Linked DNA regions of Arabidopsis thaliana. The protein of the gene in region 3 interacts with the protein of the main gene of each other region in a pairwise test. Each region holds a gene or a part of one and is shown on either strand. Other genes may lie near its edges.

What was found.
Region 1: the proteins of ATAF1 (region 3) and AT1G51805 interact in a two-hybrid assay, tested with the Arabidopsis thaliana proteins (one large-scale study listed by BioGRID).
Region 2: the proteins of ATAF1 (region 3) and FTA interact in a two-hybrid assay, tested with the Arabidopsis thaliana proteins (one large-scale study listed by BioGRID).

What each region holds. Positions count from the first base shown.
Region 1 is NC_003070.9:19,216,775-19,229,684, forward strand, and holds AT1G51805 (Leucine-rich repeat protein kinase family protein), read right to left. Parts: upstream 9,024-12,910; 5' UTR 8,817-9,023; coding exon 8,744-8,816; intron 8,649-8,743; coding exon 8,123-8,648; intron 7,411-8,122; coding exon 6,932-7,410; intron 6,843-6,931; coding exon 6,698-6,842; intron 6,614-6,697; coding exon 6,542-6,613; intron 6,448-6,541; coding exon 6,376-6,447; intron 6,283-6,375; coding exon 6,211-6,282; intron 6,120-6,210; coding exon 5,944-6,119; intron 5,862-5,943; coding exon 5,614-5,861; intron 5,519-5,613; coding exon 5,392-5,518; intron 5,300-5,391; coding exon 5,234-5,299; intron 5,147-5,233; coding exon 4,957-5,146; intron 4,822-4,956; coding exon 4,413-4,821; 3' UTR 3,462-4,412; downstream 1-3,461. Other genes in the region: IOS1 (Leucine-rich repeat protein kinase family protein), read left to right, coding at 70-196, 286-541, 645-1,059; AT1G51810 (Leucine-rich repeat protein kinase family protein), read right to left, coding at 10,345-10,714, 10,808-10,997, 11,097-11,162, 11,413-11,539, 11,631-11,866, 11,959-12,143, 12,227-12,298, 12,371-12,442 and 2 more.
Region 2 is NC_003074.8:21,937,275-21,946,507, forward strand, and holds FTA (farnesyltransferase A), read left to right. Parts: upstream 1-6,895; 5' UTR 6,896-6,934; coding exon 6,935-7,159; intron 7,160-7,295; coding exon 7,296-7,405; intron 7,406-7,675; coding exon 7,676-7,796; intron 7,797-7,881; coding exon 7,882-7,977; intron 7,978-8,078; coding exon 8,079-8,507; 3' UTR 8,508-8,733; downstream 8,734-9,233. Other genes in the region: UTR6 (UDP-galactose transporter 6), read right to left, coding at 1-29, 164-286, 494-598, 1,070-1,147, 1,615-1,671, 1,964-2,080, 2,201-2,368; AT3G59370 (Vacuolar calcium-binding protein-like protein), read right to left, coding at 4,786-5,058, 5,244-5,258; AT3G59390 (glycosyltransferase family protein), read left to right, coding at 8,886-8,971, 9,057-9,133. UniProt on the Arabidopsis thaliana protein: Essential subunit of both the farnesyltransferase and the geranylgeranyltransferase complex.
Region 3 is NC_003070.9:264,334-273,104, reverse strand, and holds ATAF1 (NAC (No Apical Meristem) domain transcriptional regulator superfamily protein), read right to left. Parts: upstream 5,113-8,771; 5' UTR 4,635-5,112; coding exon 4,475-4,634; intron 4,389-4,474; coding exon 4,111-4,388; intron 4,023-4,110; coding exon 3,591-4,022; 3' UTR 3,286-3,590; downstream 1-3,285. Other genes in the region: BSK4 (kinase with tetratricopeptide repeat domain-containing protein), read left to right, coding at 1-41, 122-454, 550-660, 743-994; AT1G01730 (uncharacterized protein), read right to left, coding at 1,233-1,564, 1,672-1,726, 1,816-2,103; AT1G01725 (adenylosuccinate synthetase), read left to right, coding at 2,370-2,483, 3,015-3,089; AT1G01715 (uncharacterized protein), read right to left, coding at 5,601-5,812, 6,381-6,588; AT1G01710 (acyl-CoA thioesterase II), read right to left, coding at 7,076-7,153, 7,260-7,328, 7,479-7,527, 7,668-7,769, 8,028-8,084, 8,204-8,308, 8,393-8,448, 8,523-8,585 and 1 more.

The DNA.
Region 1 (12,910 bases), about 19 Mb from region 3:
TCTTAACTATTATTAGAAATGGTGTTTTGATTGCGTCTTGGATCTGTTTTTGTTTTGTTTACTTTTTAGGTTGAGTTGCTTCTTAGAGTTCATCACAAAGATCTCACATGTCTTGTTGGATATTGTGAAGAAGGAGATAAAATGTCTCTAATCTATGAGTTCATGGCGAATGGTGACTTGAAAGAGCACTTATCAGGTATGGTTTTTATACAAAATCAATGTTTTAACATTGTGGTTTTTAGTTTTATGATTCTGATATATATTGTTTCAAAAATTTGATTTCAGGGAAGCGTGGACCGTCGATACTAACTTGGGAAGGAAGGCTTCGTATAGCAGCGGAATCAGCGCAAGGATTGGAATATTTGCACAATGGATGCAAACCGCAAATAGTTCACCGCGACATTAAGACTACTAACATCTTATTAAACGAGAAATTTCAAGCTAAGCTTGCGGATTTCGGGCTTTCACGGTCTTTTCCACTTGGAACTGAAACTCACGTCTCAACCATAGTTGCTGGAACTCCCGGATATCTTGATCCTGAGTAAACCTTAAACACTTTTCTTTAAAACAACTATTGATTTTTCTTTTTCGTGTTAACTCTAAACATTGTGGCTTTTCCTTTTTCTCTTGTTTTTATTTTCCAGATACTACAGAACTAATTGGTTGACCGAGAAAAGTGATGTGTTCAGCTTTGGTGTTGTTCTACTAGAGCTAGTAACAAACCAACCCGTGATAGACATGAAAAGAGAAAAATCACACATAGCTGAATGGGTAGGTTTGATGCTATCAAGAGGAGACATTAACAGCATTGTAGATCCTAAGCTTCAAGGAGACTTTGATCCAAACACGATATGGAAAGTTGTTGAGACCGCAATGACTTGCCTGAATCCGTCTTCTTCACGGAGACCGACAATGACTCAAGTCGTAATGGATCTGAAAGAATGTCTGAACATGGAGATGGCAAGAAACATGGGAAGCCGTATGACGGATTCAACTAATGATTCTTCAATTGAGCTGTCCATGAATTTCACAACAGAGCTTAATCCAGGAGCTAGATGAATCAAATCTTATGTATAATTTGTTTGAAGCTAGAAGTTTCTTCGTACACACGTTTCTTTTGTTCTGTTTGTGATGAACAGAGTGAGTGTTACTTGTATTCTATTCCGGTTCTTTGTTATATAAAATTTTATTTTTTATAGTTCTTTGTTATTTAAAATTTTATTTTTTATATAATCTGAATGAAATTTAGTGTTGGTAGATGTATGTGGTGAAAATGACGACAAATATTTCTTATAGTAGCACAATACTTTTCTTCATGAAACGTTAGCCAAAGAAGTTTATATGAGGTTACTAGGTTTCTCTTTCAGTGAAAAGAACAAGGTATGTAAATTTTGAAAGTATATATATGAGTTAGCCCAACCCCACAGTGTTGGTTCTTCAAATTTTATATGAGGTAACTTCTAGGTTTTTCTTTTTTAATGAACATATTTTTGTCGGTAAATCATTAGAATTTTGCCAAATTGATGTCTGTCGAGATTCGGTAGAAAAGCCGCACTGTTTTTTTTTTTTGTAGTGATTTTAGGTTGTGCGGAGATGTTCACTCGGTCTTGGTAATAAAATTGTCCGACGAAAATATGTTCATTTAAAAATATCGGATATTTCCAACAGTAAATCGGAAATCTGTACGAATTTCAGAATTTTAATTTGGCAGAATACCAAAATTGGCGGTCTACTTATTTAGTATTATAAATATAAATATTACGATTTTTTATAAAATAAACAAAAATGTGATTTAATGTTCACCATTTAATATAGTTTTATGAACATTTATAAACGCAGTGGCATTCTTCTTTTAGTTTTCTATATTGTATTTTCCCTTGATTGGGCCTTGGCTTGCAAGTACCGATCCCATTAGCTTCTTTCCTCTTACATTGAATGGCACACCATTGAATGACACATGTTGATGAACTCAAAGATACCCCATAATCCCATATGTATTTGGTAGAACTTCAAAACACAGTTTCAGCCCCATTGTTTCCATTACCATCAACCCTATTATGGTTAATATTTAACACAAAAAATATCAGTTTTTCTTTTTGACAATTGAACAAATATATTATATACATATTTAACTAAATTTGTGTATATTAGTAAAATACACACACATATAGAGTTGATTGTTGAAATATATCACTAGAAATATAATAACAATAATCATATAATTCTAGATAAGATATATAAAACATAAACCTTTGTGAGAAAGTAGAAACCGTATATCGTTCTTATACTTCTTCTCTTCAAATGCGCTGAATTTCTAAGACTGTAGATGGATTTGGTAACAGTCGTTTTATGCAGCCTATGAAGTGATATCATAGTTACATTGACATGATCGTTTGAGATTTTCAATCATATTTATGATGTATTTTAACCAAACATCATTCTCTCTTATTTTTGTGAAAACTATAATCGTCAGCTTTTAAAAAACCAAAATGTAAGTATTGATTCAATGGAAGTATTTCGACAATAATACAAACAAAGGCTTATTTTTGTAATGGGTCTTTAGTTGAACAAAGGCTTTTTCACTAATGATTTAGTGCAAGGGTTTCCTTACCAAAAAAATTTAGTGCAAGGGTTTAAATTGCATAGATTGATACTTGAAGGGTTTAATCAGCCCATGAGGGACTTTTCATTAAATGTTCTAAAAAATATAGAAATTAGTTTAACATCAATTATTACTCTCTTGAGTTTTACTTGGTGGACGCTACCAAAAAATTGGTATTGAAAAGCCCGTTAAAGTATGTTCTCGATCACCATATATATATATTCGATAATAGGGGATGCCAAATAGATGCATCATAAGTTGAATGTGAAAAGCATTTTATGGCACAATCGTGGCAGTTAGCTCAAAATGAGTTTTATAATAAAAATCATGGTTTTCAAATTTAGAAACTTGGAATCGAGTGAGGAATATCTCAAACGATATCAATTATTCAAGAAATCGATGCTATATGGATGGATCATGGAAAGAAAGAGAAGTTCTGTGGAACATGATGATATTGTACATCATTAAATGGAGAGACGCCACAATGGGAGCTGGCAATCCCAGAAAAAGTCTATCTCTACTACATTCAGAAGTGCAAGCTTTTCTCTGGGCGATAAAGTGTATGATTACCGATAACAATTAAGAAGCAGTTTTTCTAACAGACTGTTTAGATCTGGTGAAGATAGTGTCTTCCCCAACCAGATGACCAACATTCTCAGCCTATTTGGAGGAATTACAGAGTGACAAAGAGGAATTCAAAAGTTTTTATTTATCTTTTATTTCACTTAGTGCAAATATTAAAACAGATAATTTGACACAAAAAGTTTGTGTCAAACTACATCATATCAATATAAACAATATTTCTCAGGAATTTTGACCTCTAATTAATATCGGATGACAAAAAAAAAGAGTTCCGTCGTTTTAGATAAAAAAAAAATTAACATAAGATAATTGAATTTGTTTATATAGAGAAAAATAACATGTTTTCGACAATTAATTTAGATTCGAATGATAATAAATAAATTATTTAAACGCTGTTCAAAAAACATTTAAATAGTTGTAAATGTAACTACAATTACAAACCTATAACAAGGATGGTGAAGATAGTGATAATGGTGGCCCAGAGAGGATTGGGTTTACTTCTCATTTTCAATGGAAAAACTGTTGATGTTTTAAAAGTTTAATAAACATGAACAAAGCTTACGAGTATTTATAACAAAAGTTACATTTGTCTATTTCTAGTACATCTCCTTCAATTTTGTCATAATTCCAAGGTTCTCCACTGATTCTAGTTTTTTGCTTTTCTAACTAAGTACGTGAAAGTCTTAGAATCACACAATTATTTCTGTTAACTACAACATTAAATTGAAATATCAAGATTTACTATTGGTGATTCAATCAAAAGAGAGAGAAAATTACCAATAAAAATCTGAAAATTTAACTCGAGCCAAATATATAGATAAATAATCCGCATTAGAGTTTGTTTAAATGGTGTGAAATCAAAGAAAAGGATAAATCGTCAAATGATGATAGATTATCCCTATGGTAAAAATGGTGGAGACTATATTACATAGAAATGGGTGATTTCATTCCAACGTAGGAGCTTCCGAAGTGGAGGTGTTCCAATAGTAATCAAGAACAAGAGTAAATCTAAATTCTCCAAACAAAAAATGCACTGATTTGAAACTGATACATTACGGCGGAACAATAATAGACTTTGGACTGTTATTCACACATGTATCAATGACAAAAAGTTCAGAGTTCATTAACAAAGGTGGCCTATAAGAGAGATACTAATTTGAGGATAGTTCTGTAAATAAAAACATATAAACAAATTTATGTGATACCGCATGATAATATTTCATGTAATCTACCTAGCCATTGGGCTCACATCAGTATCAAATGTCAAGCTTACCTCTAGGGAACTCTTTGAGTCCATGTCCCTACTCGCTCCTCCCCTTGAATTTTCAGATACCAAACATTCGTTTAATGCAATAAGAACTTGAGACATGGTAGGTCTTCTTGTTGAAGAAGGATTCAGACAAGACATTGCTAGTTCAACAGCTTTCCACACAGAACCAGAATCATAGTCTCCATTTAGACTTGGATCCATAATGCTAATGATGTCTCCTTTCGTAAGCATTATCCCCACCCATTCTGAAATATATGGCTTTTCACGGCTTTGGTCTATCACTGGCCGATTTGTGATCATCTCCAACAATACAATCCCAAAACTATATACATCACTCTTCTCTGTCAACCGATTTGTTTTGTAATATCTGGAGAATTTAGGAGCATAGAATTTTATCAATTTACCTTTCCAATAAAACAAAATTCTTTTAAACTATATTACTTACTCTCTTTTACCAAAATAATACAATATATAATAAAAAAATAATAATAATAATACTTACTCAGGATCGAGATATCCAGGAGTTCCAGCAACAACTGTTGACACATGAGTTTCACCTCCAATCGGAAAAGACCTTGAAAGCCCAAAATCAGCAAGTTTGGCTTCAAAGTGTTCATTTAACAATATATTTGTAGTTTTGACGTCCCTGTGTACCATTAGTGGTTTGCATCCATTATGCAAATACTCAAGCCCTATGCAACAAAATCCATAAAATTCAATCAAATGAAAAGCAAAAAAACATATATAAGAGAAATAATAGGGATACTAGGTAAACCAACCTTGCGCAGAGTCAATGACTATTTTTAGTCTAGTTTCCCAATTTAAAATAAATCGGTTTCTTGTTCCTATGTTTTAAAAGGAGAGAAAGATATCAATGTCTGATGCTATCACGATAAATCTACAGCAATATATGGTTAGGTCATGTTTGTTTGCTTACCTGACATATGTTCTTTTAAATCTCCATTGGCCATGTATTCATAGATAAGAGCCATGTTCTCTCCTTCGTCGCAATACCCAACAAGACCAACCAAATTCTTGTGATGAACTCTAAGAAGAAGTTCTACCTAAATACCATGCCAAAATGCATATGTTTAAGCTTTTAAAGATAGTTGAATCATTGATGTTTTCATTCGAGACAGTGATGAAAGTTAGAATTTACCTCAGCTTTGAATTGTTTATACCCTTGAGATGATGAATGAGAGAGTATCTTAACAGCTACTTGTTCAACACCGTTCACAAAGCCATGATAAACGATTCCAAACCCTCCTTTCCCAAGGATTCTTTGGAAGTTATTTGTCATTATCACAACTTGTGAGTAAGTAAACCTTTTGTTTTTCGTCACTATTGCTGGTTCAGAGGATCTCGGCGATCTACCATCTGATGCTTGCATGTAAGATGGTAGTGTCCCTAAGGTTATATAAGGCAAAATCTTGTTATGTTTGATGTGCATGTATGCTCTAATATTAATCTTGAGTTTATTTATTGATACCTTCAACTTTTGATGCCTTTTTCTTTCGGAAAACAAGGAACAGAATGAGTGCACCTATAATAACAGCCAATGAAACAATTGATGCAACCACTGGTACAATGATACTCTTTTTTTCGCCTTCTCCTTTGTGCATACATGAACCAGTTGTGCAAAGAATATGGGGATTGTCATCAAGACTGCAGAATGTGAGTGTTGTTAAAGAAACAAAATACATCAATTTCCCTGATATATATATAACAGGTTGAAAGTAACAAAAATATAGCTTACTGTAGCATCAATCCTTTCTTCTGAAGAAGTGAGGCAGGAACCGGGCCACTGAGGTTATTGCCTCTTAAGTCTCTATTGAAGTAGAAAAATAGTTAAAGGATAAACAAACATGTTCAGGAGAATGTCAAGAGTAGAATATATTGTAGTGTCTCATGAAAAACTTACATGACCATGATTGATTTTAAGTCAGCTAGAAATTCAGGTACTTCTCCGGTCAAATTGTTATTTGACAAGGCCCTTCCATTAACAAAAGTGAAATAACTCATTAAACATTATCTGTTTCCAATGGTTACAAAAATTTTGGCTTGGTCAGCAGTTGAGATAGACTTACAATATTTCTAGGTGAGTAAGATTTTGAATGGCAGGCGCGATGATCCCGGTTAGTCCACTTGCAGATAAGTCTCTGGAGAAAGAAACTGTGAGATATCTAGTTCAAAATTGACATGATTAAAAAAATCAAGAAAATCTATTGAATGATTCATCTTACAAGAAATTAATTATTGGTGGAGTACTATCTGAGTAACTGCACTTTAGACCGTCCCACGAATACTGTTTGGGGACACATGGATCTCCTTGCCAACTGCTTCTATTAATCAATCCATAAGCATTTTGAACATTCTTGATAGCAGCAGCTACGATTGTAAAGCTTGATGATATCAAGAATCAACACACAACACGCTAAACATTTTGAAATAAGATCAAGAATGTCAAATTGACATACCGTCATCTTCATCTGTCTCCACTTGTAGGAAATCAATCACGGTGAAAGCCTCTATAGCATTAAGTAAAGGCGGAAGAGTTGATTTTGACGTCTTCACAAGCTGCAAAATACATGCCCCATCTTCGCATTCCTCTGGTTTTAAGTTGGTTTCTGTTTCGGTCTTTAGCGGTATTGGACTGTAAGGTCCAAACAAGTCATTTCCATTCAGCATCACATTGAATTCCCTTGTATCGTTGGCCCTTAGTGTCTCAAGCTCTGCAAAGTGCATGTAGGAGTAAACCTTTGTAGTAGGAGGCTCTACGTTCCATGTAATGTTCAATGTCTCACTATCGTTTAGAGGTGTTGCGCCCGTTGCCATTACATCTTGTGATAAATCATAATTATCAGTAACGTTTACACCCAAAGTCGTCGATACTTGTGCCCAATTATTTTCCAGGAAGGATGCATGCCATACACGGTCATAGATATCATCTGGATACCTGCCACAAGTAAATGTTAGACCACATTACACAAATAAAAAGTTATGTTTACTGTCAATGTAATAATATAGTATTTCTAATTATTATTAGTTTTTTAATTTTAAATAGACAGAACAGCAAAACAAATTGAAAGGAAATTGTGATTTGAAAAAATGAAAACTAATCAAATCGAAAAAGTAAGGTACAATATAAAAATATAGAACCTAGAAATTGAAAATATGTAAACTATAAAATTTACATAAGACTCATAATATAGAAAATTAGAAAATAAGAGTTTGTTATCGTGTGCTTTAGAATTCTTACATGACAAAAATTCAGGGTATAACTTTAAATCTGACTTATTACATTAAAACAAAACATTTCTCAATCGTTAGATTTTTTTTCTTTTTTTCTCTTTTTCTTTTTTTTGTTGCAGCATGTTAGAACAACTAAATTCAGAAAATAATATTCAAAAATATATATTTATTCACCTAAAGGGATTATTTAAGGGTAATATGGGTAGTTTTTGAATTTTAATAATCACGAATTATAAAACATAATTTACAGATAACTAAAAGAGGTTTTTAGTTTAAAACCTATTTATACGGGTTAGCAATTTAGAATCTAAATATTGTATATATTATCTACGTATCATGTGGGATATAATCTAGTAAACTATAAATATAATGGTAAATTTAAATTTACAATAGAATTTTTAACAAACAAGTATTACCTTATCGTTTGACCTGAGTCACTAAAATACTTCCTAAATAAGAGCTTGAGTGAGCCACTTTCTGTAACGTACACATTTTTCTTCAATGGTCGTAGCTCCAAGATATTAATAAAAGGTATAAAATCTCCCGTCTTAGCAAGACAAACCTGTAACGAATCGGATTTCGTCACATGGATGATCTCCTCAACAGTTTCACTGCGGCTTACCGTTGCCCATAAATTTGGACCCAAGTAAAGGTCGAAGTTCGGCTCATCTTTATGACCATCGTAATTTCCATACACGAATGTAGCCTTGATCATATAGTTGGTGTCACGGCTCACGTTTAAGTTGTAGCAGTTTCGTGCTCCGTCTGGAAAGTATCTCAATGTCAAATTCGGTGTACTGTTGTTCTCTTCGAATTCCTTGGCGATTTTACCAGTTTTCCCACTGCTAACTAAACCGACATCTGATGTATATACTAAACCGGTTCCGAGTGCGTTGTAAGGAGAATCACGAGGGAGTAAACCGCAATCCACATTGATGAATCCTAATGAAATAATAGATGGAAAATATATATCTTATAGTCTAAGAAACCATTGAAGAACACATATGTATAGATTGAAACAACAATTTTGTATGTACCGGGTTGATCTTGAGCTTGAACAAGATGAAGTATCAGCATAAAAGTGGCAACGAACACACGATGACTCTCCATTAATATCTTCCTTACTATGCAAAGAAGGGATCTGTTTTTTTTTTTGAGTTAGCAAAGCTATGCATATAAGTTTATGATTATGTATATGAGGTATTTCTCAAAGTCCTAAGTCAAATTCTTATAAGTGTCACATTAATGAATCAAATAATTGAGGGAACACATTTAATGAGGATATTATTTCGATGGTGTAAAATGATTTGGTTGAGAGAAAATGACAAGAGTGGTCCGTTACCTTGCCCAGCCGTAATTACAGCTTACAAGTTGGAACCACAAAACCGTTGACTAAGTCAACTCGAAAGAACAATCAGTCTTTAGATTCTCCTTGAATTTTCTTATCTTCAATATTGTCAAGGATATGCTTTTTTCTATATTATGTGGACATAAGTAATCATCTGATAACCATTAATGACAATGACTTCACTTTGTAGTTTGTAAGCAATGTGTTGCCTTAGTTGACTATAGATTATTACAACATATGAATCTTGTTTGATCCTTTGTCAATTTGTCAAGTTGTGCTACTTGATATCCTTCTCTTGTTTCTTTGCTCCGTCCAATATTCTGCTCAGATACTTTCTTTTTCCAACAAAAAGTAAATTTTTGTCACCAAATTTTATGTACCTTTTGGATTAAGTATATATATTTGATTATATTCCCAATGGCTTGGAGCAATCATTTTATGGTTTTAAAAGTAGAATAAGCAGTTATAGTGTGAATGTGTGATATTTATTTTAAAAATGTTTGAAGGACACTCAGACCAACTCCAACGGGAGTTTCTCATAAAATCTCTCACCAATAAAATAAGAAAAAAATGTCAAAAGGAGGAGAGAGGTAAGGGAAAGTTTTCTTTAGAGAAACCAAGAAAAACTCATCGACAACGTTTCTCACAGTTGTCATTCAATCATTGGTTTAATTAAAATACTTTCCAATTAAATATTAATAATATTTGTGTTCACACTTATATTTATGTTCACACATATATTGAGAATCGGAAGTTGAGAAGTTGCCGTTGCTGATGCTCTCAATCTGTTATTTCCAAAATTGTCCCGTTCTATTCCATGTTTTGCCCCAATGTCGACCAAACTATTTCTATGATTTGCCCCAATGAAGAGAATCTATAAACCAAATTTCATCAATTTTGTAATTTGAAAAGCTAGGAGGTGAGTTTGCTTCTTTTATTGTCAGGAATTTCTTCTGTTTCCGTACTGGTGACTGGATCTCTTAGGTGACGCTGCTTATATACAAAGGTCACTCTGCATGTTAGAAGTTGAAGGGTCATAAGCAAATGCTATAGTTATTAATTCATGGTTATTTTTGGTAAAAGAAACATGCACCACCACCCATTATTTAATTCATGGTTAGTTGGAATAAACTGAAACATGGGGGAAAAAAGACTTTGAACTTCTATTGTAATTAGAAGTTCATTGCTTACAAAAAATAAAATTGATGCACAAAATTTAGGATAGTTGTAAAGGATATATAGGGTAAAATAATGATCCACGCGATACAATAGGAAATATAATCAGGACCTCTACCGAGCCATAGGGGCCACTTCAGTTCCGAAGGTCATGCTCACTTCCCTGGAGCTTTCAGAGGCCAAACACTCTTTCAGTTCAAAAACAACTTGAGACATTGTCGGTCTTGTCATCGAAGAAGGATTCATACATGACATTGCTAGTTCAACAGCTTTCCAAACAGAACCAGAATTATAATCTCCAAGGAGATTTGGATCAGTAATACTTTTGATGTCTCCTTTCGTAAGCATTCCTCCCACCCATTCTGCTATATGTCTCTTTTCGCGGTTTTGGTCTATCACGGGTTGGTTTGTAATCATCACCAATAATACAACTCCAAAACTATACACATCACTTTTCTCCGTCAACCAATTTGTTCGGTAATATCTATAAAATAGTTCAAAGTGCAAGAATATTACGTAATCATTGGAGACAAAATATCTACAAAATATATTTTCTTATTGAAGAAGTAATACTTACTCGGGATCGAGGTAACCAATAGTTCCAGCAACAACAGTTGATACATGAGTTTCCCCTTCTATCGGGAATGATCTCGAAAGCCCAAAATCAGCAAGTTTGGTATCGAAATGTTCATTCAACAATATATTTGTGGTTTTAACATCTCTATGAACCATTAAGGGTTTGCATCCATTATGCAAGTACTCTAATCCTATGAAAAATATTATTTTCACAAAGTTTCAGTCAGTCAAAGCAAAAGAAACAAAGAAAGAATATGATGAGGTTAGGTATTTGAGAAATCAATACGAACCTTGTGCAGCCTCGAGAGCTATCTTTAGCCTTGTTCCCCAATTTAATATAGAACCACCTCGTTTTCCTATGTATTGTTAAAAAAATAACTAATGTGTGTTAGATTCTTACATTCAATAGACAAATATTCAAAATTATATTCAAAAAAATAACTAATGAGTGAATTGTAAATGACAAAAAAATATATTATTCTGAGTTATTATTTGTTTTTCTTTTTCTTAAAGAGTTACCATTTGGTATGTTATAGTTTCACCATGATGTATTGTTATGAAAACCAAATATGTTGCCTTTCTAGTAAAAACAAATATTATGTTTACCTGACATATGCTCATCTAAGTCTCCATTGGCCATGTATTCGTAGATGAGAGCCAATTTATCTCCTTCTTCGCAATACCCGACAAGGCCTACCAAATTCTTGTGATGTACTCTAAGAAGAAGTTCAACCTAACGTACCATAATGATACACCAAATTAGCTTTGAAAGAAACTCTGGAATGTTTCACACAAAATTCCATTATGAGTTGTGGTATGAATACCTCAGCTTTAAATTGCTTATATCCTTGAGCTGATGAATGGGAAAGCATTTTCACAGCAACCTGCTCTGTACCGTTTACTGAACCATAATATACAATTCCAAATCCTCCTTTTCCAAGGATTTTTTGGAAATTGTTTGTCATGGTTAAAACCTCCGCATACGTAAATTTTTTATTCTTCGTCACTATTGTCGGTTCAGATGATCTACTATCCGCGGGTAGCATACATGATGTTGGAGCTAAAGTTGTGATGAAAACATTCAATGAAACTATGCAAGTTTAATGTGTGTGTATTCATAAGTATCTTGATCGATGAATATAATGTGAATACCTTCATCGTTTGACGGGTTATTCTTTCGAACAACACAAAATATCATCAATGCAACTGTGAAGGCAACAACAGAACCAATTGATGCCACAATTGGGATTGTCATGCTCTTTATCTGTCGTCCACCCTCTTCATCTTTGTTTACACATGACTCCACTGTGCAATTAAGCTTCGGATTGCCTTCAATGCTTTGGATTGCAAGTCAAGAAAAAATTAGTTTATCATAAAAAAACATGTTAGTATCAAACAAATACAATATACAAATTCTTACTTCAATTTCAACATTTTCTTCTCTATAAGCTTTTGAGGAACTACACCACTGAGATTGTTCCCACTTAAGTTTCTGTTTAGATAGAGACATAGATCAAGCACAAGGATCAAGGGCTAATAGACATCATTCTCATGGGAAACTTACATGACCAAGAGCGACTTCATATCCGCTAGAAATTCAGGAACACCTCCAGACAAGTTGTTATTTGACAAGTCCCTATAACGATTAAGATAAAATAACCATTCATCTTAGTAATTTCTACCAACATTTTTTTTTTAAAAACTAATGATGCTTATCTATATAGTTATCTGATACTGACAGTTCTTGTAAATTGGCGAGATTCTGAATGGTCAGCACGATAATTCCAGTCAATCCACTTGAAGACAAGTTTCTAGTGATGAAAAAATAATGAGTATGTTAAGTGTACAAAAGAAAAGTAGGAAAACGATGAAATCATGTCCTTACAAGGAAGTGATAATTGGTGGCGTAGAATCATCCGAGTTGTTGCAGTTTAAACCATCCCACAAGAACTTTTTGGGTACACATGGATCTCCTTGCCAGGTTGTTTTACTCAATCCATAAGTAGATTGTATATTCTTGATAGCAATCACTAGTAATTATTTATAAAGTTAGTTGATATCAATATTCATATTTTGTAACTGTCTTCAAAGGTTCCATGTTTCT
Region 2 (9,233 bases), on a different chromosome or scaffold from region 3:
AAGACAGATGCCATTGACGGGACAGTGACCTGCATATAAATTTGCAATTTAGCCTCTAGCATGAATTACAACCTTTTCATAATGCATCAACGGGGAAGCACAAGAAGTCAGATTATCTGAATGGAACAACCAAAATATCTTCAAAATGAGCAAATATACTTACAAAGATAACGGTGCAGACGTATGCACCCGTAGCAAGAGGAATTCCAATGGCTGTAGCACCTTCAGGAAGAGAACGTAATTGGTTTACACTAATCCCTATCAGCAACAGAGCAAGTGCCTCCCACTATAACAAAATTAGGATAACATGAATAAGCAATATAAATATAAAATCCTACAAAATCCAACCAAGAATTTATATTGAGTAATCAAAAAATTTTAGGCCGATAAGATGTAACTACGAAAGGAAGGTTACACAAAAACTTCCACAACAATATTGTCTGTTATTGATAACCGGTCATACATATAACTAATAAGAACAACTGAAACTGACCTGTATGATAGAAAACCGCCGCTTCATTACCATCTTTAATAGAACAGCGATGACCAGAACCTTTAGGTTGCTAAGCATCTTTACAGTAGCAGGATTGAAATATAGCTGCACAGCAGAAACTTCATTATCATATGACATGAAAATACATAGAGAATGCAAGGTAGAATCAAATAGTACAAGCCGAGATGAATCAAATAGTAATTGCACATCATAATTACATCAATCCACAATTTAATTATGATGTAAACAGCTGACGACTCAAATATCTATCACCCAAAGCAAACATGACAGGTAACGCATTGACCACCGGATCTTAAGGGATAAGAAGATATGGTGGAAAAGAGAGGTGTACAAACTTATCCTTCTAAATGGTAATTCCATTATCTGGTTATGGTTCACTAAAGTAATGTCTGACGTGGAAAGAAAAAAATATAGCATCAACAAAACTGGAACAGATAGAACACCACATGACATGCTCTTGCCATAGAGCCACAACTTCTGACAATATACCTCACTACATTCCACAGCTTAATTACACTTAAGGATACCAAAATGAAAAATAACAAGTGGCTATACCTGCATTGTGAACTTCAGATAGTTATTAATTGCATACAACAGGGCTGGAACAGCAAGAAGCACATTATTTCGGGCTGCCTGTAAAAAATCATGTCAGTGAATTCTGCAGTCTAAGTGGTCAAGCCATTGAACTTTCAAGCTCAGCAGAAAAAAATAGTTCTAAGAAAACTCACAATTATTTATATGTACTGGTCAGTAAATTCCACATTTCAAACAACTGTGCATTGACATACCAACATGTAACTCTTCGAATCATCAATTTACTTAAGTCTAGAAAACCTTATGAACAGTAGGAAAATAAGAAGGCGCAACGAAGATGAGACATGTTTGCAAGACATGACTAGCCATCAGGCAATGAAAGTTCAAGAAGCTAGCTTCAGTTTATTAAAACATCGGAATTATTCTCTACCATGACGATTCAATTGATTAAACGAAGGCATTATTCTCTTTCCTTTAATTTTTTCCCCCCATTTTTTGTCATACCACTAATCTAGTAGCAGCTTGGCAATACACTACTCTCACTCTAATTGACAAAGAAGAGATACCTGGACAAATGTGGAAACGGATAGAAGAGGCTTCTCTCCAACTTTTTGGTGCCTGGCCTACAATTTGAACACAAACACGTAAGTATTGATAGAGCATCCACGGTTCTTACAGAAAAGCAAGAGACTCAAGAAATAGGTAATAATTCAAAAATCAAGAAATTGTCTTTACGCACAGAACATAATGGGATCCTTTCACATTCACTTTACTGGTTTATCAACATCATGAACTTCTCATACTTGTCACCTTCTTATGAAGTTAGAAACATCTAGTAACTAGTCCTAGATACTAGAGTACAACTTAAATGTCACACTAAATGAATCGAGATTGTAAGTCAGTTCAGAAACATACCTGGATTAAAAGCATCACAATCGCAAAAATAACTTTTGCGATTTCTGTCAAGAAGTTGACGCTAATAGGACTGAAGTTGAATTTCCCATCCACCTTCGACATATACACCAAGACAGGCTGAAAAAGAGGAAAAGTATGTAACTTTTAAGTGATTTACACAAACAAATGATGAGCTGAGAGGAAAAAGAAGAACGCTGATAATAAATATGGAAAATTTGTCAAACGGAGATGATTTACCTGGAGACCAACAAGCATGCAATCACCTACAACCAAAAGGACATTGAGGACACGTTGTTTTGAGGATACCCTAATCTTGTGGTCGTCATAAGCCCTAGAAATAGTTTTGCTACCAGGAGAGACCAATTTTGAATGACATGCAGGGCACTCAGCTATACCGTTCTTCATTTGTTGTCTTTCTCAATCTGACAATTTCTATACTGATCCAACAAGCCTGATAAACAACAACAACAACTCATGAGTCGCGTTCCAACTAAGAATCGCAACAAGATATCAACTTTATGTGGAATTTTAGCAGAGAAGGCAAATCACCAAATCTGAACTCACAATCAGATCTCAGTAGCTAAATAAAATCACAATCTAATAGAAACAATGAGCGAAAAAGAAAAGATAGATCTCAAAAACCCAAACATGGATCTAAAGCCGCCATTAGAAGACTTGTCGGTTCATTCCAAAATTCTATCAAAATCGTGATCGATCAAACTAACCTAAACAATCAGCTTAACAGAACATTCCCTCCAGCCACACGGATCCAGAACTCGAGCTCCAGAGTGAATAATCAATCACTAATAAATCTTCGCTCTGAATTGCAGAATTGAAGAAGATCTAGAAACTCTCCAGAGACTCAGCTTCGGTACCAGAAAAGATGCCAAGGAATATGCAGAGAGGAGGAGATTGAATCAGTGGGTCGTCGTTCGTTGTTGCTCGCAAGTGCGCTCTAATTATCTAACACGACCTCTCCTTCTCTCTTTTTTGCTTTGATTTCACAACAACGTTTTCTTTATTAATTGCGGAATTTTTAAGAGATTTGCTCTAATCAGCCTGCCTAACAATAGTTTTTTAGGGGAAAAATACATAAACAAGTTTATTAAATAATGTGCCTAATTATTTATCCTCACATCACATGTTTTTGTAACGTGTTGGTGATACTAATACAGTAATACTCAGTAGCGGGGTAGGGTGTTAGTAGGGGGTCACTTGACCCCATGTATTTTAGAAAATTTTGTTTATTAGGCTTAATTATTTGGTATTTGTTGATAATTTTGTTTTAAATGTTAATGTAGACCCATTAACTTATTTTCAAATCCTGTTTTGTACATTTTTATTAATTTGTTTTTTCTATTTATGCATATTGCCTAACTCTTTCCATCTTTTTTATATATTAATTTTAATTATTTAGTTCCTTCTTGATCCTACATTAGATTATTTCCTACTATATAAAGATTTGGCAACTACTTTTGATAAAAAAAAAATCAATTATGATTTAGATAAACAAAACAATTAACTAATGTGCACAATCTACATATACATTTGAGTAAATAAATATATTGAGGAATGAAATAACATATGTCGTACCTTTTTCACTACTATTATAGAAAAAAATAAATAAATAAAAAATGATAAAGACATATAAAGAATCATGTATTTAACACACAAGTGAAGTGTTTCTAACACTACAAAAACAAAAACAAAGTGTAATTTATATAATTTGTGAGGATTACACAACCATGACATTATTTAGGTTCTAATTTATTTGTTAAAAAATTGATAATAATATTTAAACAAACATTATCGGTAAAATTATACTCTAAATAAATTATTTAATATTAATATTTATATGCATATTAACATTGACCCGCTCATATTTTAATTTTATTTTCCAAAATTCAACTTTTGATTATTTTCGATTTTACTGTTTTGGATTTAAAAACAGTATTGATTGTTTAGATTTTTCTTTTAAGTATTGATTGTTTAGATTTTTGTTAACTGAGATCAGATTTTTGCTCACATTACTTTCACCTCAGACGCTTGATATCGTTGCAAAATCTTAGAAACGTTTTCTGGATGACGCTCTTGAGCTAGTCAGCTAGCAAGCGAATTTGATTTACTTCTAATAAGTTTCATGTAACTGCTTCAGCGTATAAGGAAAGAAAGGTGATGTCCGATGAGGCAGCTGACTACTTTGCAAGTATGTGGCCGCCTCTTCTTGAAAACGTAAGGTCTTCTTATAATCTTATTCAGTTTTCTAAGGCATTTTGTAAGTTTGGATACACTGAATGGACTAACTGATCTTTCTTCTTTAACCCACTTTGTGAAACATTTGGTTTATTTCGAAAGTCTCAAAAAGAGGAGATTGAAGCATTGCAGGATGGAACTCTCACCCCACAAAAGACTAGGCGGTTTTGTATCTTCTTCTTTTAGTACTAGATATTAACTTGTTTTTGTAGCTCTATCTATATCTATCTCAAAATGATATTCCCCATACATAGATAAATTATGACTTGTTTAATTTGTTTGTTTTGATGAAATTTGTGTATAATTTGGCGGTACTGTTTCGTGTTGAAGAGCCCAAGCTTGTTTAAATTGTTTCTTGTTGGGTTCTGTCTAGCTTCTGTTGATTTACGACTACAATACTATGTTCATGTAATCACACAAAAAACGATATGAGACCAAAAAAACATAAACAGTTCAAACAAGATGGGCTCTTCAACACGAAAGAAAGGTGAAATGTTGATAAAATAAAATAAACAGAAAACGATATGAGATCGAAAAAGGTCGGTCATATAGAGCTTCTTCCTTCCTCTTTACTCCTTGGCCTTCTCGACGGCGACTTCCTCAGCAGCCGCAACTTCAGTCTGTTTCTCCTCCAACGCCTCAGTCTTCTTCTCCTCCGGAGTTTCAGTCACTTCTTCAGCTTTCTTCTCCTCCTCCACAACTGTTGGAGTTTCAGTGATCACTGCTGCCTTCTCTTCTTCATCCTCATTTGTCTTCTCTGCATCTTCCACAAACACTTCTTCCGGGTGTTGATTCACCTCCGTCTCAACGATCTCTACTGCTACTGAAGTCACGTGTTCAACCTGTAAGCGAAAACACACTTATTAAACGAAAAAATGCATGCCGTTTAAACGGCGAATAGTCCATATCACTTGATAGACATAGATTTCTAGATACATGATATATATATATATATATATTAACAACGAATATGAACCATAGATACAGGTTTATAGTTTGACAAAATAAAAATAAAGAGAATATATACCTCAACGGTGGCCATTTCGAAGGAAAATATAGTGTATGTGATGCTTTGGTGTATGAAGAGATTTGATCAAGATGAGAGGTATTTATAGTAGAAGCAAACCGTTTACAATAATGTTTTTTCAAACTAAATATCTATTAAGATAAAATTATTAGTTTTTTGAAAGAACCATGATGATGATTATTGCACATGAACGAACCTTTTTTTTGCTTATATATAAAAGCAATTGTACTATTTTACACCTCATGCCCACATAGTATGGGGTGACTGGAGAGGGCTTTAGAGGGTAGCTGTTACTTTATATAAGCTGTAAAGTCTTATACTGTGATTTTTATTTTTTAAAAAATAAAGCTATGACTTAAAAAAAAATATAGTTTTACGAATTTTTACTTTAAAATAAGTTGTAAAGTTATATACATACTGTAAATTTTATTTTAGGAATTTTTTCATATTTTTAAAAAGTACAAAATAAAATATTGTTTTTGTTATTCCTCAGCTCTTGTGAAAAATCATTACTTAATCTTCATTAATCGATTGTTTAGGTCTTATTAATCATGTGTTGAGTTGGGACCATGATTAAGCAATAAGAGTCATTTACCTCCTGTCAAGTATGCATATGCATATACTTTTGGTTGTTGAATATTGTTGGTTGCAAGCAGTACAATCGGGAGAGAAAGGATCGAAAGATCGACAAAGGTGTTGCTAAAGCTGAGGGTGCTGATTAATCAAGGATTAATCAATACGATATCTGAAGCTAAAACTAGAACACCAAAATGTTGATTCATGATCTTAACTCCTAAACATTTCCTTGGTTAATGAAAGAGTTCGTTCATCTTTCAAACCATTGACAATAATAGCAGCTGTCACCTCTTCTTCACCATTACGGGCTTCTTCTTGATGTAATGGTGAATAGTAAGGCCTCTATGCTGTTATACAATGCTTTAAGTACAAGGATTTAAAAAATATTTACAAGCCTTTTTTTAAGAGTTTTAAAAGGATTTACAATGATTTTAAAGGATTTTAAAACTTTTATAATTCCTTTTAAAGTCATTTGAAAACTTTTGTAAATGCTTTCAAAACTCTCAAAAAATTTTTTTTTTTTTTTTTAAACTCTTAAAATTATCCTTGTTGTATATATTATTTAAAGCCTTTTAAACCCTTAAAATATATTTTACAATGGTTTTAAATGATTTATAAGGATTCTAAAATATTGAAAAAATGTTTTAAAAAGGATTTTAAAGTATTTACATGTATATTTAAAAACTTTATAAGGATTTTAATAAGTTTTAAAATGGTTTACAAGAGTTTTTAACAATTTTACAAAGCTTTAAAAAACTTTACTAGGATTTTCTAAGAATTTTTAAAGGATTTACAATGGTTTTTTAAGGGTTCTAAACAAAATTAGAAAGACTTTAAATGCAATTTTTTGGCGGGAAAAAACAGAGAAAATAAAATTTTGGCACTTAAAATTTAGGTGGGTAAGTTTTGGTTTCTAACTACATGTTCTCATTAGATTTGATGATGATTAATTTAGTCATTTTGGTTAAGAAAGTGGTTATTTTTAAAAATGGGCCAAAAAAGGATATCATAGTAGAATTGTGGTTTGGGCTTAAAAGCCCATTACCCCTCCCCTAATTAGTTTTCAACTTTTCATGGAGTCTTCGGTTTTCGACTTTGGATCGGAGTCGGGGAACATGAATTTCGACGAGACCGTGCCACTGAGCCAACGATTGGAGTGGTCAGACGTGGTCCCATTGACTCAGGACGATGGTCCGAATCCAGTGGTGCCAATTGCCTACAAGGAAGAGTTCCGCGAGACTATGGATTACTTCCGTGCGATTTACTTTTCCGACGAGCGATCTCCTCGCGCACTACGACTCACGGAAGAAACCCTCCTCTTAAACTCCGGCAACTACACAGTAATCAATCTTATAATTCATATAATCAACAACTATCTGAACTCTTATGGTTTTGAAATTTGATGGATTTTAGTCTTTTATTGGTCCTTGTTGCTTCAATTTTTAGTCTTACCGATATTTTTGTTTACCTTTGAAGGTGTGGCATTTCAGGCGCCTAGTACTCGAGGCCCTTAATCACGACTTGTTTGAAGAACTCGAGTTCATCGAACGCATTGCTGAGGATAACTCTAAGAACTACCAACTGTGGTAAAGTTCATACCTTTTCACACCTTGTTTGATCTATGTGCTTTTGATCATGAAAGTCTATGAGTGAGTTATACTTTTGAAAATTGTCTGATGAATAATTTTGAATCAATAAATGTATATTCTACTTCTCCATAGATGAAAGTTTGTTCTTGTACACATTGTTAAGTTCATAGTGTCTCATATCTGCTGATTATACAACGTTAAAACCCTTGGTTGTTTGTTTTGAGTTTGATGGTCCATGCTTCTGCTCTATGTTTTCCTTTTCTCTAGGCATCATCGGCGATGGGTTGCAGAGAAACTGGGTCCTGATGTTGCAGGGAGAGAACTTGAATTTACCCGTAGAGTACTTTCACTTGATGCCAAACATTATCATGCTTGGTCACATAGGCAGGTTTGCGATCTCAAACCTTGTTAAAGCATTCACTTGGGGTATCATTGCATATCTTTTTGTTTGATAATATGGAAACAATCTGCAGTGGACACTACGGGCATTAGGAGGATGGGAAGATGAGCTCGATTACTGTCACGAGCTCCTTGAAGCTGACGTCTTTAACAATTCCGCCTGGAATCAGGTAACTTGATCGTTGATACACATACGAAATTCTGTATCTCTAATCTATCAATTGCCGATTCTGTCACCTATTTGTATAATCTCATTCCCTTAATCTGACAGAGGTATTATGTCATCACCCAATCTCCTTTGTTGGGAGGCCTAGAAGCCATGAGAGAATCTGAAGTAAGCTACACAATCAAAGCCATTTTAACCAATCCTGCAAACGAGAGCTCATGGCGATACCTAAAAGCTCTTTACAAAGACGACAAAGAATCCTGGATTAGTGATCCAAGTGTTTCCTCAGTCTGTTTGAATGTTCTATCCCGCACAGATTGCTTCCATGGATTCGCTCTGAGCACCCTTTTGGATCTTCTATGTGATGGACTGAGACCAACCAACGAGCATAAAGACTCAGTGAGAGCTCTAGCTAATGAAGAACCAGAGACTAACTTGGCCAATTTGGTGTGTACTATTCTTGGTCGTGTAGATCCTGTAAGAGCTAACTATTGGGCATGGAGGAAGAGCAAGATTACAGTGGCAGCAATTTGAATATGTGACGCCCCAAAATCACACTTGAAAAAGACTTGATTATTAGTTTTTACGTATGTACTGCTTATTTATGAATCACATGTTCATGTTAACATGTATCAAAACAATCTTGATTTCTCAGTTTCCTTCGCCTTGTGATATTCAGAGAAGCTTTCTCAAGAATGATTTTGCATCACACACTTTGACTAAACGCATTGCTCTCTCGATAACCGGAAGATCAAAACCGAAACCGGGTTTTGGTTTGGCTCGCGGATTTCCCCAATTCAATTTTAACGACAAAACTATACTAATTCATAAGATTAAAAAAAAAGTTTCTGAAGTGGTCGAAGTCGGAAGCGTGATTTGGTCGAAAGATTGGTTCTTTCTCCGACAAGAATTATGTCCAAATCTGGGTTTAGTCTGCTGTTCCTCGTTCTTCTACTTATCATGGGTTTCTTATTTCCGTTGAGAGTTTCTGCAATTAGGTGATTAATTTTGGGTAACAACCATTGCTTCTATGAATTGTCCCGCTTAGTTTCATTTCCTTGAGATTTTCGAATGAATTTGCAGGAAGGATATCGGATTTTTGGAAGAGCGGAGTTGCAGAACAACTGTCCAAGGAAGATACTTGATCTCCGATGATGAAGGTTAGCGATTTCCACTCTTGGAAAGATTCACCTTTTTGAACATTTTGAATCTCTTTCGACTTAGATTTGGTGATCCATGAATGGTTTGTTGTTGCAACTT
Region 3 (8,771 bases):
TGCTTGATCTTCTCACCGGAAAGCATATTCCTCCTAGCCATGTAAGTGCCCATGGTAGCTACTTTAATCGTTTCTTGAATTCTCTTTATTAATTATCTCAGCCTTTTGCTGTGTGTTTTAGGCCCTTGATTTGATTCGAGACAGAAATCTTCAGACTCTAACCGATTCCTGCTTGGAGGGACAATTTTCAGACAGTGATGGTACGGAGTTAGTACGCCTGACATCTTGTTGTCTTCAGTATGAAGCTCGTGAGCGACCAAACATAAAATCTTTGGTCACTGCACTGATATCTCTCCAGAAAGACACAGAGGTTCTGTCTCATGTTCTAATGGGTCTGCCTCAAAGTGGTACTTTTGCGTCACCTCCGTCTCCTTTTGCTGAGGCTTGCTCGGGAAAAGACCTGACGTCTATGGTTGAGATCTTGGAAAAAATTGGTTACAAAGACGATGAAGATGTAAGTCGTCATGCTTTACGGTTACCACTTTAGAGTTAGAATCCTTATGCTTCCCATCCCATGAAGGCTTCTTTATGTGACATGTTTAAACGCAGCTTTCGTTTATGTGGACGGAACAGATGCAAGAAGCTATAAACTCGAAGAAAAAAGGTGATATTGCATTTAGAAGAAAAGACTTTAGTGAAGCCATTGAGTTTTACACGCAGGTATGTCTTTCTTTCACACTTGAATCCGTAACAAGACCTTCCTCCATAGTTGATGATGCCCTGTCTATAAAAATTGTCCCAGTTTCTTGATTTGGGAATGATCTCTGCAACAGTCTTGGTGCGGCGAAGTCAAAGTTACCTAATGAGTAACATGGCGAAAGAAGCTTTAGATGATGCAATGAAGGCTCAAGGCATTTCTCCTGTTTGGTATGTTGCATTGTATCTCCAGTCTGCTGCTCTTTCTGTCCTGGGAATGGAGAAGGAATCTCAAATCGCACTTACCGAAGGATCCATTCTTGAAGCCAGAAAGATTTCAGCTTCCACACAGAACTAAAGACTTATTATTTTGGGTTTTGGTAGAAGATGAAGAAGCTTTGATTAACAATCCAAAGGTAATGTGCTGTCTCATTAAGCATATTGTGTAAAAAAAAAGGTTTAGATGTTAAGCATATTGTGTACTAATTAAGGCTTCATGGGTAGAAGCTAATCCATTGTTTCAGTTGATACATATAAAACATTGGGATGAACGGATACCAAAGTGAATAATATTATACAAACACCACTAACAAAGCTTAGAATGTGTTGGGCAACTCAAGCTCTGCCTCCACTTGCATAATTGGGTGAGAGCTTCTGTATTCTTCCTTTGACATTCCAGAATAAACAGGTTCAGTGCCTGGCCCTCCAGAGGTTATGAAGTTCCAGCCAAATGCCGACCCTCCAACCACCTTGTCGCCATCTCCATCAGAGCTGTGCTTCTCAGTTTCAGATGATCTCAGTACACTAGTAGTAGTAGTAGTAGTAGTAGTCGCCTTTCCGTTGGATAAAGAGTCGCTCTTAGCTGTTTTCTCACGTTTGGGAGACTCTCCAATCATCTCTTCGTACAGTTGAAGCATAAGCTTCATCTCTGCAAACATCATCATTTCAAGGGACACAGAATCAAACAAGTTGGGCCTTTTGTTGAGCTAAGTGAAAATTGAGATAACAAAAGAAGAGAGTGTAAGAGCTTCTCACTCTCTTGAATCTCGATAACTGCCTTAGAGTTCCTCAAGTCTGGAGTTCGTAAAACCTGTAGCACACCACAAAATCCAAGTTGTTATGTATAAACCCTTTCCCAAACAAAGAGTTTGAATGTTTTTATCACAATTATGGTCCAACCTCGAGAACGTGAGGGCGAAGATCTTTGACAAGGAGACGCATCTTGTAGTAGTTGGAGCTCTCGATCTGAAGATTCGCTTCCAGCGCTCGCTTTCTTCCCCTGGACGACGGATCTGTGGTAACTGTCGACGGAGGCGCAGTCATCTGAGCTGGCTGAGCAGGCGAAGGTAACTCAGCTGATCTCTGATCTGCAGATGTAGGAAGCGGAGGAGCTTGTGCTGGAAGAGATGAAGTAGCAGCAGGAGGAGGTTCGGTGACTCGAGTCGCCGGAGAGGTCGATTTCTCCATTTTCAATTTTCAAAGGTTTTCAACCGCCGAAAGAGATCGCCATAAATCAACGCAGCGGGGATCTTAAAAACGACGCCGTGAGGACTTGATGAGATGTTTGGGCCTTTCTGGGCCCATATTTGAAGTGAACGAAAACGGCATGAATTTTCTTACACAAATCGGATTGTGTGTCGTTTTACCAATAAAAAAACGTATAACATCATCATTGTGTCACTTGAAAAAAACCAAAATCACCGGAATTGTTCTTTCTGGGAACGAAAACATCGATGAATCCCCAAATTGAAAAGGTGGTGAAGGTAACCAGTGTGGTGGCGACTGCTGTTGTATCGTACTTCCTCTTAACCGCTGATTACGGTCCAGAGCCCAACGCTCTTGATCCTGTGAGTTTCTCTCTCTCTCTCTCTCTCTCTCTCTCTCTCTCTCTCTCTCTCTCTCTCTCTCTCTCTCTCTCTCTCTCTCTCTCTCTCTCTCTCTCTCTCTCTCTCTCTCTCTCTCTCTCTCTCTCTTTTTTTTTTGTTTGTGTTTAATAAATCGAACCGTCAACCTTCTCGATCATCATCGCTTCGAATCGCAGATATTTGCTACAGCCTACAATCACTTGGTTTCAATTGATATTGGTTAGATCTCTTTATTAGTTGTTAGTTGCTAGGGTTGAATTTTGATCTTAGAAAACTTTGAATGAGATATGAATGTTCCTGACTTCTATGCTCAGCTTTGTTGCGTTTGCCTGGATCTTCAACGAATGAGTAGTGACTACTTTGTTTTGCTGAGTTTTTAGTCTGTTGTTACTCTCTCTATGTTGAGAGTACTGATTACTCATTTACTCTTGAACACCAAATCAATTTCTTATGGTTCGATGGGGTTTTGTAGCCAATTAACTCTATATTATCTATGACATTTTGCATATGCAGATCAGACAGAGGATACTTTCAGCGCAAGATTCCGTGAAAGAGTTCATCTTTCCATCAAAGAAGTCCGACAAGTGACAATGGACAGTAACATGTAGCTCAACATCAGACTTCATCTTATAGCGTTTCTGCTAACACACTGTACTCTAGCTTGTATCCATTACTCCTCTACACTTGTTAGATATGTTCACAATAAATGTAAGTCAGATCAACTGTGAAAGCTGATAAATAAATATAGAACCAATACGCTAGTTTGTATCCATTACTCCTAAGTAGACAGAAAATATTAAATTGATTGCGGCACATATAAATATTAGCTTCTGACTTTTATGCCAATTTAAGAACAAGTGGATTTTCTTCTACCTAACACAGTAATACACTACTGATACATCCAACGACCACCGTCCGATTAGGGATGATCTGAAATCGGACGGTCTATAGAATAAACGAAGACTGAACAGAAATCTAATGGCCGAATCGGCACACTCATTGACCATATAAAACGGTCTCGTGTTGCCATAAACGCAAAAACGAGGGTCGTTTTGCGTTGCGTTTCGGCGGCAGGAAAGGAATTCCCTTCTAGTAAGGCTTCTGCATGTACATGAACATATCCTGTAGCGGAAACATCTGATTACTACTCCCTCCTCCTCCAAACGCGTTATCCACGGTGGCATCAATGTAATTAAACCCAAAATCAAGGGTATTGTTATTGTCATTACTTACGGCCGACCAATCTTTCCACTTGGGCTCGCTCTGAACCTCGCTCGTGAACTCCGGCGACACCACCTGCTCCGAGCAACTCGAATCCGTAGTATGCAGCTTCGGCACCGAATCCGACGTGTCGAAATACGCGAACTCACTTGTCTGTTGCGGCGGCGGAGGCATAACCATCTCCGTCACCTTCGGCTTCTCCTCCATGATTTCGTCGCCGTAAACAACCGGAGGCGGTGGTCCCCGCCTCTCGGTAGCTCCTTTTTTGTTGTAAATCCGGCAGAGAACCCAATCATCCAGCTGGGCAAAAATCAACACCGTTGATTCAATTTACCAGAAACAGAACAAGAGATTGAAACAAAGATGTGAATCAGATCTGATTCCATACCCTGAGACTATTCTTCTTCTTGCGAACGGACCGGTCAACGTCGGCGAGACGGTACTCGTGCATGATCCAATTGGTTTTCTCTCCCTTTGGAGCTTTGCCGGCGTAGAAAACAAGAGCTTTCTTAATTCCGACCGGTTTAGGTAGTCCGATCGGTTTATCAGCTCCGGTAGCTTTCCAGTAACCAGAACCAGCGGACCGGTTAGGACGCGAACCGTTGGGATATTTTCTGTCCCTGGGAGAGAAGAAGTACCATTCCTTCTCACCATACAAGGCTAAACCTGTAAAATTGAATTTGAGTCAGCAGAGAACAATCTCAGATTTAGAATCCGGCAAAGATTAAAGAGAAAGAGAGCTAGTATGTCACCAGGAAGCTCCCATGGATCGTATTTGTAGAGATCGATCTCAGCGATGATCGGAACGGCGATGGACTGAGAGGCACATTTGCGGCAGAGATAGTGCATGACAAGCTCTTCATCGGTAGGGTGAAATCGGAAACCTGGAGGCAACTGTAATAATTCTGACATAGTTTACCCTCTTTCTTAATATTATTGTTACTATGAATGGAGGAGGAATTAGGAGGAGGTTGTTGAGGATGATCCTGATCCTATCCTAATCAATTGTAGTATCTCTCTCTCTACCTCTGAAACTTGGCGTTTTTGAAACTTGGAAAGAATGAGAGAAAAGTCAATTATATAAGGAGAGGGAGTGGACACGTGTCGAGATACGGAGGAGGAGAAGAGCTTCTAGAACACACGTGGGTGGATGACGCTGCCGGGACACGTTTCGCAAGTAGAACTCCGTTGCTGACGTGGCGATGAGTTTGATGTTGTCATTGCTTACGTCTGTCGTTTCTGGGGGTCCACTCACTTGTCGTTAGAATCCAAATCCGACCGGTCCGATACGACCGAACCCCTGGGCTCTATCTTACTATGGATTCTTCGTTTCCGGTCGGTGGATCTCCGGTCCCACTGCCTAGTTCCTCCGTTTATATTTTTTTTTTGTCTTTTTGCAATAGGTTCATATCATTTCAAAATCCCACACGATTAAACGGTGATAAAGTTTATATCTCGCTCTAGTAGCCTCCACCATTTTCGACGGTGTTAATTATATTTTTAAGTTTTTGCTAGAAAAGCTCTTATATCAATTGGTTTTATGGTTTTAAGTTTCTTACACGGGTGAGATTGCTAAATCGCAAGCTTGGATTTGGGTGTTCTTGACAATTGTGCAACCATCTGATTATGTGATTCTTACATATACATACAGGGTGTAGAATCAGCCCAAGATTCTATAAGAGTCCATATTAAAATCAGAGAAAGACCTGTTTCAATGTAGAACACAATCAAAACAGAGGTTATGGTATACTCTTATTCTAAATGCGAGAGATGTTGGTTGATACTAATATAGTAGAAAGAAATACCAGCCATATCTCCTCCTATGCATTAGCTTTCTTTGAGTGGTAAAGCCAATAGGGAGAAGTAGAAACTGATCAGTTAGCTAGCTTTCCGCCTTGTGAAAGCCGGGTGCATAGTAGTTCCATTGAAAGAAATGGACTTGTCGATTCTCTCTTTACTCTCTCGCATTCTCTCTACAACTAGAGGCACTGTGGCAATGTTCTCGTACACTCTTTCTTTGAGCTGAATCAGGCTATCTCGAGATTCTTGTTCGATTCCACCTATATGTGCTCCATCTCTTGACACTAGAGGTTCTTCCAAACTTGCAAGGAACAAAATAACTGATGAGTTGGTTATCACAACAGCAGTTCACTAGAGACTTGTGTATATTACAATGCTATGAAATCTTAGTGTCACCTAATGTGGCCACTTATCTCATGGTATCTGTAAACAAAAATTGGCTAAACAATCATTTTCTCTCAGCTTAGCTAAACATATCATCACATAGTCTCATGCTTGTCGATTCTAAGCCACAAAAATACATGATTTATTGTAATGGAAAAGCCTTGTATATGTATCATCACCTCAGAATTAAGCGTAATAACTCATGAACATAATCATCCAGAGGGTATAGTAGCAAGTATCACAATATTCTACACGCATGGCATGACACAAACCTAAATGCAAAAAACGACATCACAATCAAAAGGCAAGTCTGCTGCTGCTAAACAACTTGGTCTTCACAAGAATGATCCACGAATAATGTAGAGGATCAATCTATTATTACATCATCTAGAAAGAAAAAGAGACTAAAATTCCAGCTGAAACCAAAGGAGAAGGAAGGTATCTAACTAAATATAAGCAAAGAAACGTACGAACCTGTGCTAGTTGTGCGAAAGCCCAAAGAATCGATGTTGGGAAAATTGGATCTACGAGAAGAAATCACAGAATTGCTCAGATTACTCGGTAGGCTTTTCCTGTACTCGGAAACCTTGCGCGACATTTGCTCCACCTCTGACTCCATTTTCTCCAGATCTTCTTCCGAATCCAAGGAATTTAGGTCTTCATTTCTGTGTTCGAAAGCCATGAGAATGTAGAATTCGTGCTCAGAGATACCCAAAATCCCAGGGTTTTTCCAAGACCAACAAAAGCGAGGAGAGTGGGGAGGTGGCAACAGAAACCCGCAAATCACAAATGGATACAAAACTATAAACCGGCCGGTTAAGCAGGTGTACCGGTTCCATCAAAGATACCCCCGCGGATCCAAAATGGGTCGTACGAAAACTAATTTGATACTTGGGCCCATAATTTTCTGGCCCACGAATCGATCTAAAGGTGTTCTTGTGAGAAAGAATTTTAAAACAAAAAAAAAAAACAAGAGAATTTATAGATAGATGATGATAGAGGTGAGAAGGCCGGAATCAAACAATGTACATACAGCGTGCTACATTGACATTATGAGTTTGTCTAATAAAATCTTTTATTTAGTACCCACCCAGATTGGTTTTTGATCTTTTTATTCGTCGCCTTGTACTCGTAATAATGTATCTTATTTAACTTACGTTGAGAGCCATTCAGAGCTTCGACGTGCCGGAGGGTTTTGGAGGTCTAGCCTCTCTTAATAGGGCCTCTTGCGTTAATGATACAACCAGCTGTTGTTCTCATATTCAAAAACACATACCAAAAGGAATTCTTTTATCACTTATCATTTCCAGATATGTATGTATAATAGGGTTCAAAAGAATAGAGAAAGAGTACCTCTCCTTTCCTGTTGAACATTTGACCAGTCACAAAACCACGGGTCTCATGCGCAGTTGGACTCACAATCTGCAAGCAGCATCCTTTGTGTTGTAAGTGGGTGAACCTCTTACAGCAAACAAGTTTATAAAACAACTCTATACCAAAAATCATTTTCATTTATTCTGAACAAACATTTGATCTGAAATGTTCATAAGAAACAAGGATAGAAAAAACTACCACATAGAGCAACCACTCGTCGGCTCTTAGAGGTCGGTGAAACCACATCCTGCAAACCAAATGAGGAATAGTAACTCGTAATAGTTACTTATCTGGAAGATCCCTACTGGAATAATGCCTCAATGTAATTAAAAAATTTAACCCAGACACACAAAACTCATACATCACCAAGAGAAAATAAAAACCTACGCATGGTCCAGGCTAAGTGCGGCGGATTTCACCCCTTTTCTCCGGTGAGGGTTCAAACCAACACCACAAAATATTAAATCCGAGGCAAATGCAACGACACATCTGCATATCAACATGGCTTTGCCAAATGATTAGTTTGCTAAGAATGATAAATTGAATTTCAATATACCGTCAGTTTTTCAATGCTATTAAGAAAGTTTGGCCTTTTACAAGTCTCAACCTATCAACTTGGGATACTAAAACACCATTGATTCACTTGTCTACAATCATTCTTGCCTTTAAAGTTTAAAGGATTGTTACCAGATGAATAATACCAATTTTTAGATGGTTACCTTGATATACATAGATGGAGTTACTTACCGGTGCAAAGCTTGATCATCAGAAAGCCTTCCCTTTGCTCTAAACCAATAGTTCAATCTGCAAGAAGGCATTGTGAGTTTCTTGATTTTTTTTTTAAGAAATACTTAATGGAATTTATGAGTATACACTCAAGAGTACTCTATGATATAATTGATTTATTTCAGCGAGTTGTTAACCTCGGAGGAGACTTTGTCTGATTTGTTGAATTGCTGGGCTCACAAAATCGAATCTCTATAGGCCATGGAACAAAGTTTCTAGTTGCAACTTTGTTCCGATAACTCCTGAAAGAAAGAAACAATTGGAAGATTGGTCCAACTTGAGCTTTTGATATAAGTTATCATACATTGGAAAACACTACCACTTACCTCGGTAAATGAGGATCAGTTATACGGCTTTCACGCAACTCCTCCAGTGATAGAAGCTGTAGCAGATAATGGTGAAAAATAAAACACACAACAATTTATTGGAACCCTTAAATCTGGAGAAATGATTTACCGTATCAGGATCTGGTACAGAGGGCATGGTTGACTCCTGGTGCTCAAATCCTTGTTGTTCTTTCTATGAAAGTAATAAAAGAGAAAATTTAAGAAAACAATTTTCCCAGTTTTGTGAAAGGCTATTCTCTCTTGGTGGCAGGTGGACGTAGAGATTCATAAGCTATCTTGTAAAGAATAAAATGGGAAACCTGAAATGATGCCAGCAAGATGAATATGATATTTCCTTTCTGTACTGCATCAACTCTTC